Tribolium castaneum: one gene and its partners. The protein of the gene in region 1 interacts with the protein of each later gene in a pairwise test. Links are inferred from orthologs where the notes say so. Each region holds a gene or a part of one and is shown in the gene's direction. Other genes may lie near its edges. The genes, in order: drk, WW domain-binding protein 11 and mop.

Region 1 (4,100 bases):
CAGCCCCCTCACCCCCGCAGTCTCGACCGTTTTCCTAAACGCGTCGAAAAGGCCGTTAACTCGCGGCGGCAGCCCCATGATTTTGCGCTTGCCTTCCATTTGTAATTGCACTTTGAGTAAATCGGCCGGACTGGCAATGTACTGTGCAAAGGCCCCCGCTGTGACCCCACAAAGGGCCGACTTCCACACGGGGAAGTACTGCTCGGTGCCCGAGTCGAAAAACTTGTCTTTGAGGTGCTTGTACGTGACAATTCGAGTACCTGAGTAGAACAAGTGGCGGTACAAGGCGGCGTACGCCCCCTGCCACAGCTTCAGAAACCCCTCCTCGGAGACGATCCCCACGGCGGTGCGGAACAGCCCCCGGTACGGGGCCTTGACCATGCTCGCATCTTTGGTGTTGGCGACCTCACCCTGTATTTGCAGCCGCGTTTTGGCCAAATCTAACGGGTAAGTCACTGCAACGAGAGTCAAGGTCAGGTGATGAATAAATCAAAACTAACTTAAACGAAAGACTCGACAAACGCCAAGTTATTCTATAAATAAAGCGCGATTTTTTGAGGGAATACAAGGTGGCAAAAGTTACTTAATTTCTATTTTTACCTAACTCCGCATTCCACGCTCCGACCACCGATACCATGTACATGCACCATAGCGAGTCCACGTACTTGTGCTCCTTCGGGGGCGGAATCTGCGGCATCTTCACCAAAAAGCCTGAAATCACGGTCTTATAAGATTCCCATAGGGCAAAGTTCGAAACTCCCGCGGGGGCAATGTGCACGTAGCGTGACCGATAAAGACACAATAAGCCTTCATTCCTACTTTCTGCGTGATAAAGCGGAATGGAAATTGCAAAATTAATGAAAAAAAGGGCAATTAAAATTCAAAAAATTGTTGTGACGACTTGACAACACCGCACTATTAACCTGCAACCAACTTGTTGTCACTTTGACACATTGACACCACTTGGGGCCAGTTAATGGCAAACTCACCATTTATTTGTTTGGTGGAACTTCCGTAACTTCATTAGTTAAGTAAATAACGAACAGTTATAGATAACAATTGTCACGGCAGTGCTTTTGGGACTACATTGTTGGTGACGTGTGAGTGGTGTTGGTAGAATTTGATTCAAGTGACAGACGATTACTGCGCCCCTGGCGAAAAGTAGTTCCGGATTATTTCACCTTTTTTTTGTTATTTCCGTACCCAGTATCGAATTCTTTCCGGATTATCGTCTTTTGCGCCTGATTACTTGTCCAAAGCCGGCGAGTTTGTTGTGTTTGCGCGATAAGAGCGATTGGCTGTGATAAGATAGTGTTCCTCCGCCATGATTGTCCTCCAGTGTTGAATTTCATCAGTGACAGAAGGGAGGGTTCTCGTAAGGTTCGCGTAAAAACCCAACAAAAACACCAAATAAAGTGATTATCTTCCAAAGAAATGTGTTATTCGTTAGATTACAAAGCGGATGCTTAGTGCTAGTTGGAGGAAGCCAATGTATTGACATTGCCGGTGCTATTTGAACTTTTTTGGAGTCAGCTCTTGTGCTTTTATTTGTGATAAGACGAACTTGAACAATGGAAGCAATAGCGAAGCACGAATTCAACGCAACGGCCGACGATGAGCTTAGTTTTCGTAGATCTCAAGTCCTAAAGGTACTTCCCCGAAATTGTGGCTTGCCCTAAAACCATTTTTCCAGATACTGAATATGGAAGACGACATGAACTGGTACAGAGCTGAACTGGACGGCAGAGAAGGCCTAATTCCTAGTAATTACATAGAAATGAAGAACCACAGGTAAATACACCTTGAGGGGTCACATGATAATAACACAATTCTCTTGAACAGTTGGTACTACGGTAGAATCACAAGAGCTGACGCCGAAAAACTGCTCTCAAACAAGCACGAAGGGGCCTTTCTCATACGTATTAGTGAATCCAGTCCAGGAGATTTTTCTCTATCTGTCAAGTAAACACACTTTTTAGCCCCCAAAATTATAAATAACCCCCATTATCGCAGGTGTTCTGACGGCGTGCAACATTTCAAGGTGCTAAGGGACGCCCAAGGCAAATTTTTTCTCTGGGTAGTCAAATTCAATTCGTTAAATGAATTAGTAGAATACCATCGCACGTCGTCCGTGTCCCGGTCACAAGACGTCAAGCTGAAGGACATGGTGGCCGAAGAGGTGCGGAATCGTATTGTCTTTATTTTCAGAACAATTGTCAGTGTAGTCATGTTGGTATAAGCATTATCACCCTGTAGTTATTTGATATATAGTCTGGTCTACGGAGGACTATAAGTTAGGATACTAAATCGCAGGATTTCCTGAACCCAAAAAAATTGTACGGTAGACTTAAATGAGGGCGCTTCAAGCACCAAATCGTTTTAAATTAATTTAAATTCAACCAATTCACTAATAACTCGGAAAAAATGCAGTAATGTTGAGTTTGCATTCTCATCAGACTGAGGAAAACTGTCGACTAAAGTTTTTATGAAAAACATGAGGAAAAAATTATTTAAAATTTGCGATGATTTTTTGTGGGAGTTTTGACCTTGACAATTGTTTTGGAGAATAAATGGATGTAGAAATGGGCAAATTGTGACGTTCCTGTTGCAGTGCTTGGTGCAGGCCTTATACGACTTTACTCCACAAGAAGCCGGCGAGCTAGAGTTCCGAAGGGGCGACGTAATAACGGTGACGGACCGCTCAGATCAGCACTGGTGGCATGGCGAGATCGGACACCGTCGCGGCCTATTCCCCGCTACTTACGTGACGCCTTACCACACATAATATTTTTCCCTTAATTATTATTTTCTCAAAGGCATTATTTCACCACCACTCTTGGAAAAACCTGCGCAACTGTGGGCGATTTTTTACTTGGTTTTTAATTTATGTGATTTTGTAATAATCGTTTAGATGATTTTATTAATTGCTCATTGTTTTTGGAAAATCTCTTAATGTAGTTTTAAGATCAAATATTTTTATATTGGATCAATTGTACTGAAAAACGTGAAATTTATTAATCTTCTTCAGTTCAGTAGGTTATGGAATATAATATAATGTTTAATTTTTTAGGTAGAGTGTATGACAGGTTGCTTACATTTTACTCTGTTCAGATATGCAACGAAATTAACCAGTTAGGAGCAAGTGGAGCTAGTTTCCGTCGAAGATTTAATATTTAAATCCAATTTCCTATAAGATAGTGCACACAATATCGTATTTTTAGCAAATCAGATGCCATTTTTTGTATTTCTTTAAGTTATGGAGATTCGTGAGTTTATTTCAAAAGATTTTTATTTGTATATAATGCGTTAGAGATTATGCCAGAATTTTATTCAACACTCATTCGTTTGGCATTCTCTTGCTTTGACTTTTAGACTTTGTATGTAAATACTAACATAGTTTTATTATTACAATATTGCATTATTATAATAGGCGAGTATAAGTAAATATATGTTATATAAATAACAGCCGTTTTATTGCTTTCCTCTAACTCCAAATAAATACTCCAATTTTCTGACCTGCCCAACTTTCCTTAGAAATTCCATAAAATTAGAAAAAGTATTATGATATAATTTTACTCAGATGAATTTCACTCGTTGAACATTGATTTAACATTTTGGAAGTCTGAAAATTACTGCTTTTCTCGAAAACAAAAAAGGAAATTCAAATTTCGCACCACAATTTCACTTGGTGAAAAAGTGGCGATAGCCAACATCACGGCACTAAAGTTCCTTTTCCACGAAGGAATCGAATCCCAGTGGCATCTTTCAACGTAAGTCCCTCTAATTTCGAAAAATCTGACCCATCATCAACGATCCCGCCCTTAAAACCCCTTTAAACGTTCAATAAGCCCCATTGCCACACAATCCTGTGCTTATTTTCCCAAATTCGGTCAAAAATCACCGAAACACCGCCATAACCTAACTCTTTCACGCATCTTCCAGGTTACTCGTAACTCAATTCTAACGTAAGGATGTCGGGAGGTCTGGAAGTTCTCAGCCTCAAAGAGGACGATGTGACCAAAATGTTGGCCGCCGGCACCCATGTGGGCACCACTAACGTAGACTTCCAAATGGAACAATATGTTTACAAGCGGCGCGCT
Region 2 (4,084 bases), on another chromosome or scaffold:
GATGTCTTCTTCTAATATGAGGTTTAAACGAAACATCCTCTATTATTTTACTTTCACGCGAATTATATTTTTCTCTAGTGAATGAATATGTTTTTAGTGTCCTTTTATGTAAATTAAGTCACTTATGTTTCAATTATTTTATTTGGTATTTTGTAAATTGTAAATGGTTAAATCACTTATTTATTTTAAATTTTTATTTGAGCTTTCAAAAATATAAATTTCCAAGTAATGTCTAAGGATTTTAGGCAACAAAACCTAGGAAATACTGAGCAAAGTTTGAATAAGCTTTAGGACCGAATTAAAAGTGAGGAAACAAAAAGGCACTAAATTTAAAGCATGAACAAAAAAATTATGTTTTATTTTCAACCACCTCATAATCGCCAACTGTACTTTTAAGCCACGCTATCCACGTCTCATCAACTATTTTACTGAAAGTAATTTCTTTAAAAATCTCGCTACGACCAGTTTCAATAAACCCGCAACTTTTGAACATGTGGATGCTAACATCATTATCGTCTGAAATTTTTACAACAAATTCTTTTACACCGAGTGTTTCAATTCCGTAGAGAAACATGAGTAGCATGGCTTCAGAACCGCATTTCCTACCTCTAGCCCATTGTTCTGCAATCATAATTTCAGCCTCTGCACAAATCCTGTCGTCAGCGTTTGCAAAAAACAGATTTGTGTCGCCAATCATTGACTCTTAAAACAGTGCATTTATTTCGTCGTGCTTTTTGTCTAGACTAACTAATTTACCAATTTCGTTTCCACAACTGTTGTATTTCTCTTTATCAAGAATTATGAATGTACATTCTGAAAAAATGAACTAGAAAATTGCAAAGTAAAGTGTGCCAATTTACTGTCTTCGTCCATCATCCAGGACTTTTGCATGTCGTATTCCTCCTCTAAAGTAAGGGGCTCCGAAGCCGTCAGCTTTTGGAGTTCTTCAGATTGCATCCAACTGTGATACCTGAAAATTGTTATTAAAATGACGAAACAACGCTATTTTCACCTACTTTGAGACATGTTCGGCTTTGTAAGGCACTAAAATTGTCCGGCAGCCGATAATTTGTGTGTTTTTGTTTATTAACATTTTTAGATTATGTAAGGTTATGTCTTGATGTTTGTAGCCGATTAACTTTGGTACCGAATCACTCTAATCTGTGACCGAATACCGAAAAATTAAATATTAATTTAAATATTTTGACTGTTGTAGATAAATTAAATAATGGTGCTTCATTTTTAAATGGAAAAATATAATGTTTTGGTAGGCTGTTTAAACATATTTCTATAGAATAAGATAATACAGAATTCAGTGATTGACTTTGTATTTCGACCACAGAATATTCGGCTGCAAGTCAATTCGACCGCGCGCCATGTAATGTTTGCAATGATGTTTTGAGTGCATTTTACGAGTTTTACGTGAAAATAAAGTGATATTAAGTTAAAATGGGGCGCCGGTCGATTAATACCACTAAGAGTGGTAAATACATGAATCCCACCGACCAAGCCAGTAAGACGATGTTTGGGTTTGAGGTTAGGTCACTCAAAATTTTGCCAATTTTCAGGAAAAGAAGCCCGGAAACAGGAATTAAAAAAGAATAAAAAGCAGAGACAGATGGTACGGGCCGCTGTTTTGAAAGGCAAAGACCCGCAACAGATTTTAGAAGAAATGGAAAAAATTGATCAGATGGGTACAGTTCTTGTAATGGCTTGAATAACACGGAAGATTGACTGTTTTTGTGTTTTTAGAGTATAATGTTTATCAACCGTCGCCCTTAAATGAGAAAGTTTTAAAAGACAAGAGAAAAAAGTTAAGGGATACGTTAGATCGAGTTCTTAGTATGTATGTAAGTGCTGAAGACAGGGATTTTAATTGGATGGTGTCGAATCGTTGTTTTTTTCAGTATAAAGACGATCCTGATAAGTGGGCCGATTTGAAACGAAGACAAGCCGATTATGAACATAAAAGGAACCAATTAGTCGCATTTTATGAGTCTGTTAAGAGTGCACAGCAAGTCCAAGTTGATGAAATTCCTCTGCCACAACTACCCCAACAACCAAGTAATGCCCCAGCGCAAATCCCGCTACCTTCGGAAAGAAAACAAGAGCACACGATTTATTCCATAGCCACCGCGCTAAAGTTGCAAGCACTGGTATGTATTTTTTAAAGCATTGGCAACTTAATAAAAACAACTTTGTATTAAATGAAAGTTTTACACTTCTATTTTATAACTACTATTTTTTTACTTTATTTTTCTTTTACTGTTTTTATTCCTTCGAGCATTTATGCAAACATTCTTTTTATCTATTCCATCGTGGGCACTATATTTTGTCGATCTGGCGATCTTTTACTTATTTTACTTCTTTCAAATGTATCTGAGCTTCCTAATTCGCTTTTCCTCATGTATCTTCACTTTTTATGCTTATAAAATTTTCTGAGCACTCTGACTCTTATTCGACACTCGATTTTTACGCACTAAAGTTTTCTTAACTCCAAAATAAAGCATTTGCAAAAACATTCAAAATTATTTTTACAACCTACTAAGGTAGCAAAAAAATTGAAAAAATTCGAGAAGTCGTTAAAGTAAAATTGCTATTTTTTTTGTAAAATTAGGGCCAGCCTGTGCGTGAGCCCCCCGGGTGCCCCCCCGGCCCGCCACCAGACATCAACGACGACGGCGAAGTGGAAGACTTCACTCGAACCGACGACGAAAAGGACGAAACAACTGAAGACTCCGACACAGACCCCTCCTCCAAGCCCACCTCCCTCCAACAGAAAATGGTGGCTTTATCTGGCCAAAACGTCGACGACTTCATGAAAGAAATGGAAGTCGTCCAGAAAAAACTCGAAACAAAAGAAGACGAAACCCGGGCTAAAACCCACCCTGAACCACTCATCCCTCCCGGAACGGACCTCCCACAGCCCCCCACTCCACTCCTATTCCCCAATCCTGGACTTCGATTGCCTCCAGGCCCGCCCCCCGGCCGTCCCCTTCTCCCCCCAGCGCCACCACCGGGATTACCACCGCCGCCTAGGATGCCGCTGCGTATCCCACCAGCGCCACCTAGGATGATTCGCTTGCATGGGCCCCCGCCTACGCTCCCAGGGGGCCCCAATTTGCCCTTAGGGACCCCGAATGTGTTGTCGGCAGCCCCCCAACTCATAAATCGGGTCGAGTCGACCAAACAGGGGGCGACGATTTCGGCGAAGCCCCAAATTCGCAACTTGAGTGCTGATGTGACGAGGTTTGTGCCCTCGGCGTTGAGGGTTAAAAGGGAGGATAAAAAACACAAGCCAAATACGAGGACGTTGCACGAGTTGAAGCAGAAAGAGTACCATTTGCATCAAAATACGCACCCAGAGCAACATACGAAAGATGACGCCTATAAGCAGTTTATGGAAGAAATGCAGACGCTATTGTAGTTTCTTTTATTAAAAAAATTACAGTTTCCTGTAATGAAAATTTTTACTTAGACTGGTAAAAAAAATGTAGGTAGTAAGCTGTGACGTGCAATCTGAATTGTCAAATTGACAGTTGTACACCGCAGCCTTGATTTTGGAAAAATCGTGCGTGATCGTTGTTTTCCTCACACTTGCTTGCGTCATGATTTTTATCGCAATTGTTTAATTGCCTAATAAACCGCATTGACGTCACTTGAAATAAAAGCTCAATTCGCGCGGTGTATATCTTATATTTGGCAAATGGATAATACAAACAATGGTACCTATCATTGTAAATATTTACTTATAATTAAAAAATTAAGGAGCAAGAGTCAAACAAACAACTCGAACACTGTGCAAAATAACATAATATTTGGGATTGTAACCACTAAAAATAAAACCGTTCGTTTCCCGTGATATAAGAAAATGAAGCGCCTGATCCTCGCTCCCGTTCGGAATATAAAATAAATATAAACGAAAGAAACACAAATTGATACATTTGAGCCAGTGTAGAAAATAAGTGGCAGTGAAATATATTTGTAACTATTGTGATCGAACTAAAACAATGCTTTTATTTATGTATCAATTGTTTTCCTTTTCTTGTACAGATCATAAAATTAAAGATAACGAGACATTATT
Region 3 (3,335 bases), on another chromosome or scaffold:
AGGAATATATTAATACCTAATCACTTTTATTACGTTTTGTTACAAAAGGAATGTCGCTATTTTTTTTTAATTCATTTATCTTGGATGACAGGCATAAATCAAAGGTTAGGATGTGCTGTCAAATGCCAACAGCTGTTTTCTACTACATACCGCTAAACAAGTGCACAAATCAGCAAAATAAAAAGACGATTAGAATAAATAAAGACTTGAAGAAAAAAAATTAAAAAATGTTTAAAAAAAATATGCAAAAAAATGCACTAAGAAAGAAAAAAAATGTTTTTCTTTCAAAGGAGAATGTTTTTGCTTACAGGTTGGGATTCAAAACTTTCTAAAAACTTTGGAAATGGTCATAAGTACTCTAAATCATTACAATACGGCATAACAGAATTACTTTATTAAATTTTGGAATCCTAACCCGTAAGCAAACATACTCTCCTTTCATAAAAAACCATTATTTTTTTCTTTTTTTGTGCACTTTTGAATTAGAGTTTTTTAAAATCATTTTCCATGTATTTTTTTCAGACGAATCTGATAGAACAGAACGTGGCAGCTCAGGAAAACATTCTCAAAGCCTTCGTGGATGCGTACGCTCGGTCGATGTCGACTCGTCGCTACTTGCAGGACGTGATCAACAAAAGAACATCAACAGTCAGCGCACTCATCACCTCCTACGATACGTACGAAGATCTCGTAGCAAAGGCCAACAAAGGCATCGATTTTTACAACAAATTAGAAACCAACGTTTCGAAATTATTGCAACGTATTAAAAGCGCATGTAAAGTACAACAGGAAGAACGCGAGCAAATGCTGTTGAAAAACTCGGTCCCGGTACCAGCGACCAAAGAAGAACCGGTTATAAATTCGGCGCCAAAATTGAAAGATTTTATCGATACTAGGAAAAAAACGCGAGGTTTTAACGACGTCAGTCCCCAGTATTACCCTCAAGGCGTACCTGATGCCCAGACGTGGCCCCCGGCGGTTAGACCGGCGCCTTTAGGCTCCGAAATCAACGAACCGGTTGTAACCAAACCGCAAGAGCAGGTTTATGCCGGTTTAGATCAAAATTTGGCCGACAGAATGGCCAGTTTGAGGATGGGCTATTATGGACAAAATACCCAAGTGAACAAACAAGCCTATACTACTACCACTGATACGTACCAACCGATTTCGAGCAGTACCCAGAATAATCAAGTGACCGCTGATAATATTGGTGGACAATATCAGGGGTACCAAATGTCGTATAGTACGCCTTCGACGACGAGTTTAGGCAATTATGGACAGGTTGGCCAACCTGGCGAGAGTTACCCGCAGGTTAGCCAACCTTACCAAAACTACGCCCAACCTGACAGTTACTCGAGTTATAATCAAGCTAGCCAACTTTACAATCAAACGCCGAGTTTACCTAATCAAGCTGGCCAACTTTACAATCAAACACCGAGTTTACCAAATCAGGCTAGCCAACTTTATAACCAACCTACGACTAGCCAACATGATGCGTACACAACGTATAGCCAGACTGGCCAACCCTACGGCCAAATGTCAGTGGCTCAAGTGAGCCAACCGTACAATCAAACAAGTCAGGTTGTCCAACCTGACGTATACACCAACCAATATAACCAGGTTAGCCAACCTAACGTTTATTATCCCGCCGGTTATGGCCCCGCTCAAGTGCAACCAACCGAACAGACCTACTCCTACCCTAACACTTTCGGTAGTAACGAATATGCAACTTCGGTCCACCCTAATATTTCAAATGTGAGTTACAATTCGACTTATTCCTCACCTGGGGTCGATTTAAAAAGTTCCGATTCGAATTCGAAAAATTACGTAATAAGTAACGGCCAAGGTTACACAAGTTACGATCAGTACCAATACTACTACAATTATGGCCAAAATCAGACTTATCCCACCTATGGAAGTGGCTACAATTACGCAACACCGTCACCACAAACCTCCGACACTTCCATAACCGCAACAACGAAGGAATCAAACATCGACTTACTCACCGGCTTGGATTTTACGGTAAATCAAGCACCACTTATTCCCCAACAAAAACCATCGGATCCTGAAATAAAACCGCCCCAAAAAACGGAAACTCCGGTAAAACAACCAACAAAAGTTGTGAAAAACGAGGAAGAACCGCCGAAAATCGAACGAGTTGTTAATCGCAAGCCTCTCAATAATTCCGAAGTGAAAAAACTATTCGGCTCGGAAATTGATAAGTTTGAGAAATTCGTCGATGTTTTGACGAACAAAACCTTGAGCGGACCGACGAATTTGGACTTGAAATGGAAGGAAATACAGGACAAGCAAGACGTGGAGAAAAAAGCGATTTCGGTAGCGAGGTGTTATCCCATGAAAAATCGATTTCCGGATATTTTGCCCTACGATTACTCGAGAGTTGAGTTGAAGGCGGCGAAAGACGATTATATTAATGCTTCGTATGTAAAGGTGAGTGGAAATTAATAAAAGATGAGTTTTTTATTTGCGATAGATTAGGAGACGAAACGAGATACAAAATTGCACGATTTTCGCTACCCAAAAAATATAATACAGCGGAATAAAAATGAGGGCTTTAAGCGTTATACCGTCTTGTGGCCAAATCGTTTTAAATTAATTTAAATTCAACCAATTCACTAATTATTACTGGGAAAAAAATAAAGAAAAATTTACTACTAAAAAAATAATTAAATGTAGGGCTTCGTCCCATATTTTTTAAAACGCTGCGAATACTGCTAAAGATACGGGACAAATGTTAGGAAGAAAGTTATAGAGAATTATATTTCTTTTAAAAAACTCCGCGAGACCATATCTATCGTCAACACTGTTTAAGCTCCAAAGACGTCCAAGCGACGGATTCGTTTCATTTTACCGCTGGTGAGGTTTCGGAATAATTAATTAATAACCGAAAGCGTTGAAGATAGAAATATGGTGTCTCGGAAATTGTAGGCAATTTAATTCTTTACTACTTTGATTCATACACTTTTTTTTGTATCTTTAACTGTATACCCAGCGTTTTGATAAATATGCGACGGTGCGCAAATTAGTAATAATTATTCCTAATACAATTTTTGTTATATTATTGTTTTCGATAAAGAGTTTACACTATCTTTACCTCTCAGTTAGGTTTAATTAATTTTTTACTTTCCCATGACAGTTCTTTCAGATGAAACTAAACTATCATCTACCTTATTATTTCTGTTAAGTTAAACTCCATAGCCTTTCGTTTAGAACTAGATACTTTCAAATATTTCTTTACTTTCATAGAAAATTTTTAAACTTTTATGAAATATTTAGGAATCATATTTTTTCAGTATTATACTGTCTTTAACAGA

What was found.
Region 2: the proteins of drk (region 1) and WW domain-binding protein 11 interact in binary tests that used the Homo sapiens proteins (3 or more experiments, as listed by UniProt). The link is inferred for Tribolium castaneum from reciprocal best matches to the Homo sapiens genes GRB2 and WBP11.
Region 3: the proteins of drk (region 1) and mop interact in binary tests that used the Homo sapiens proteins (3 or more experiments, as listed by UniProt). The link is inferred for Tribolium castaneum from reciprocal best matches to the Homo sapiens genes GRB2 and PTPN23.

Annotation. Positions count from the first base shown.
Region 1 is NC_087399.1:3,452,146-3,456,245, reverse strand, and holds drk (growth factor receptor-bound protein 2), read left to right. Parts: upstream 1-1,508; 5' UTR 1,509-1,571; coding exon 1,572-1,649; intron 1,650-1,693; coding exon 1,694-1,791; intron 1,792-1,842; coding exon 1,843-1,962; intron 1,963-2,013; coding exon 2,014-2,179; intron 2,180-2,611; coding exon 2,612-2,785; 3' UTR 2,786-3,463; downstream 3,464-4,100. Other genes in the region: Ucp4A (mitochondrial uncoupling protein 4), read right to left, coding at 1-455, 601-711, 924-954; sta (small ribosomal subunit protein uS2), read left to right, coding at 3,972-4,100. UniProt on the Homo sapiens protein: Non-enzymatic adapter protein that plays a pivotal role in precisely regulated signaling cascades from cell surface receptors to cellular responses, including signaling transduction and gene expression.
Region 2 is NC_087394.1:25,616,567-25,620,650, reverse strand, and holds WW domain-binding protein 11, read left to right. Parts: upstream 1-1,342; 5' UTR 1,343-1,449; coding exon 1,450-1,513; intron 1,514-1,568; coding exon 1,569-1,694; intron 1,695-1,752; coding exon 1,753-1,850; intron 1,851-1,907; coding exon 1,908-2,156; intron 2,157-2,617; coding exon 2,618-3,427; 3' UTR 3,428-3,467; downstream 3,468-4,084. Other genes in the region: Mnat9 (N-acetyltransferase 9-like protein), read right to left, coding at 350-702, 757-813, 861-970, 1,017-1,093. UniProt on the Homo sapiens protein: Activates pre-mRNA splicing. May inhibit PP1 phosphatase activity.
Region 3 is NC_087398.1:12,632,849-12,636,183, forward strand, and holds part of mop (tyrosine-protein phosphatase non-receptor type 23), read left to right. Parts: intron 1-522; coding exon 523-2,451; intron 2,452-3,335. UniProt on the Homo sapiens protein: Plays a role in sorting of endocytic ubiquitinated cargos into multivesicular bodies (MVBs) via its interaction with the ESCRT-I complex (endosomal sorting complex required for transport I), and possibly also other ESCRT complexes.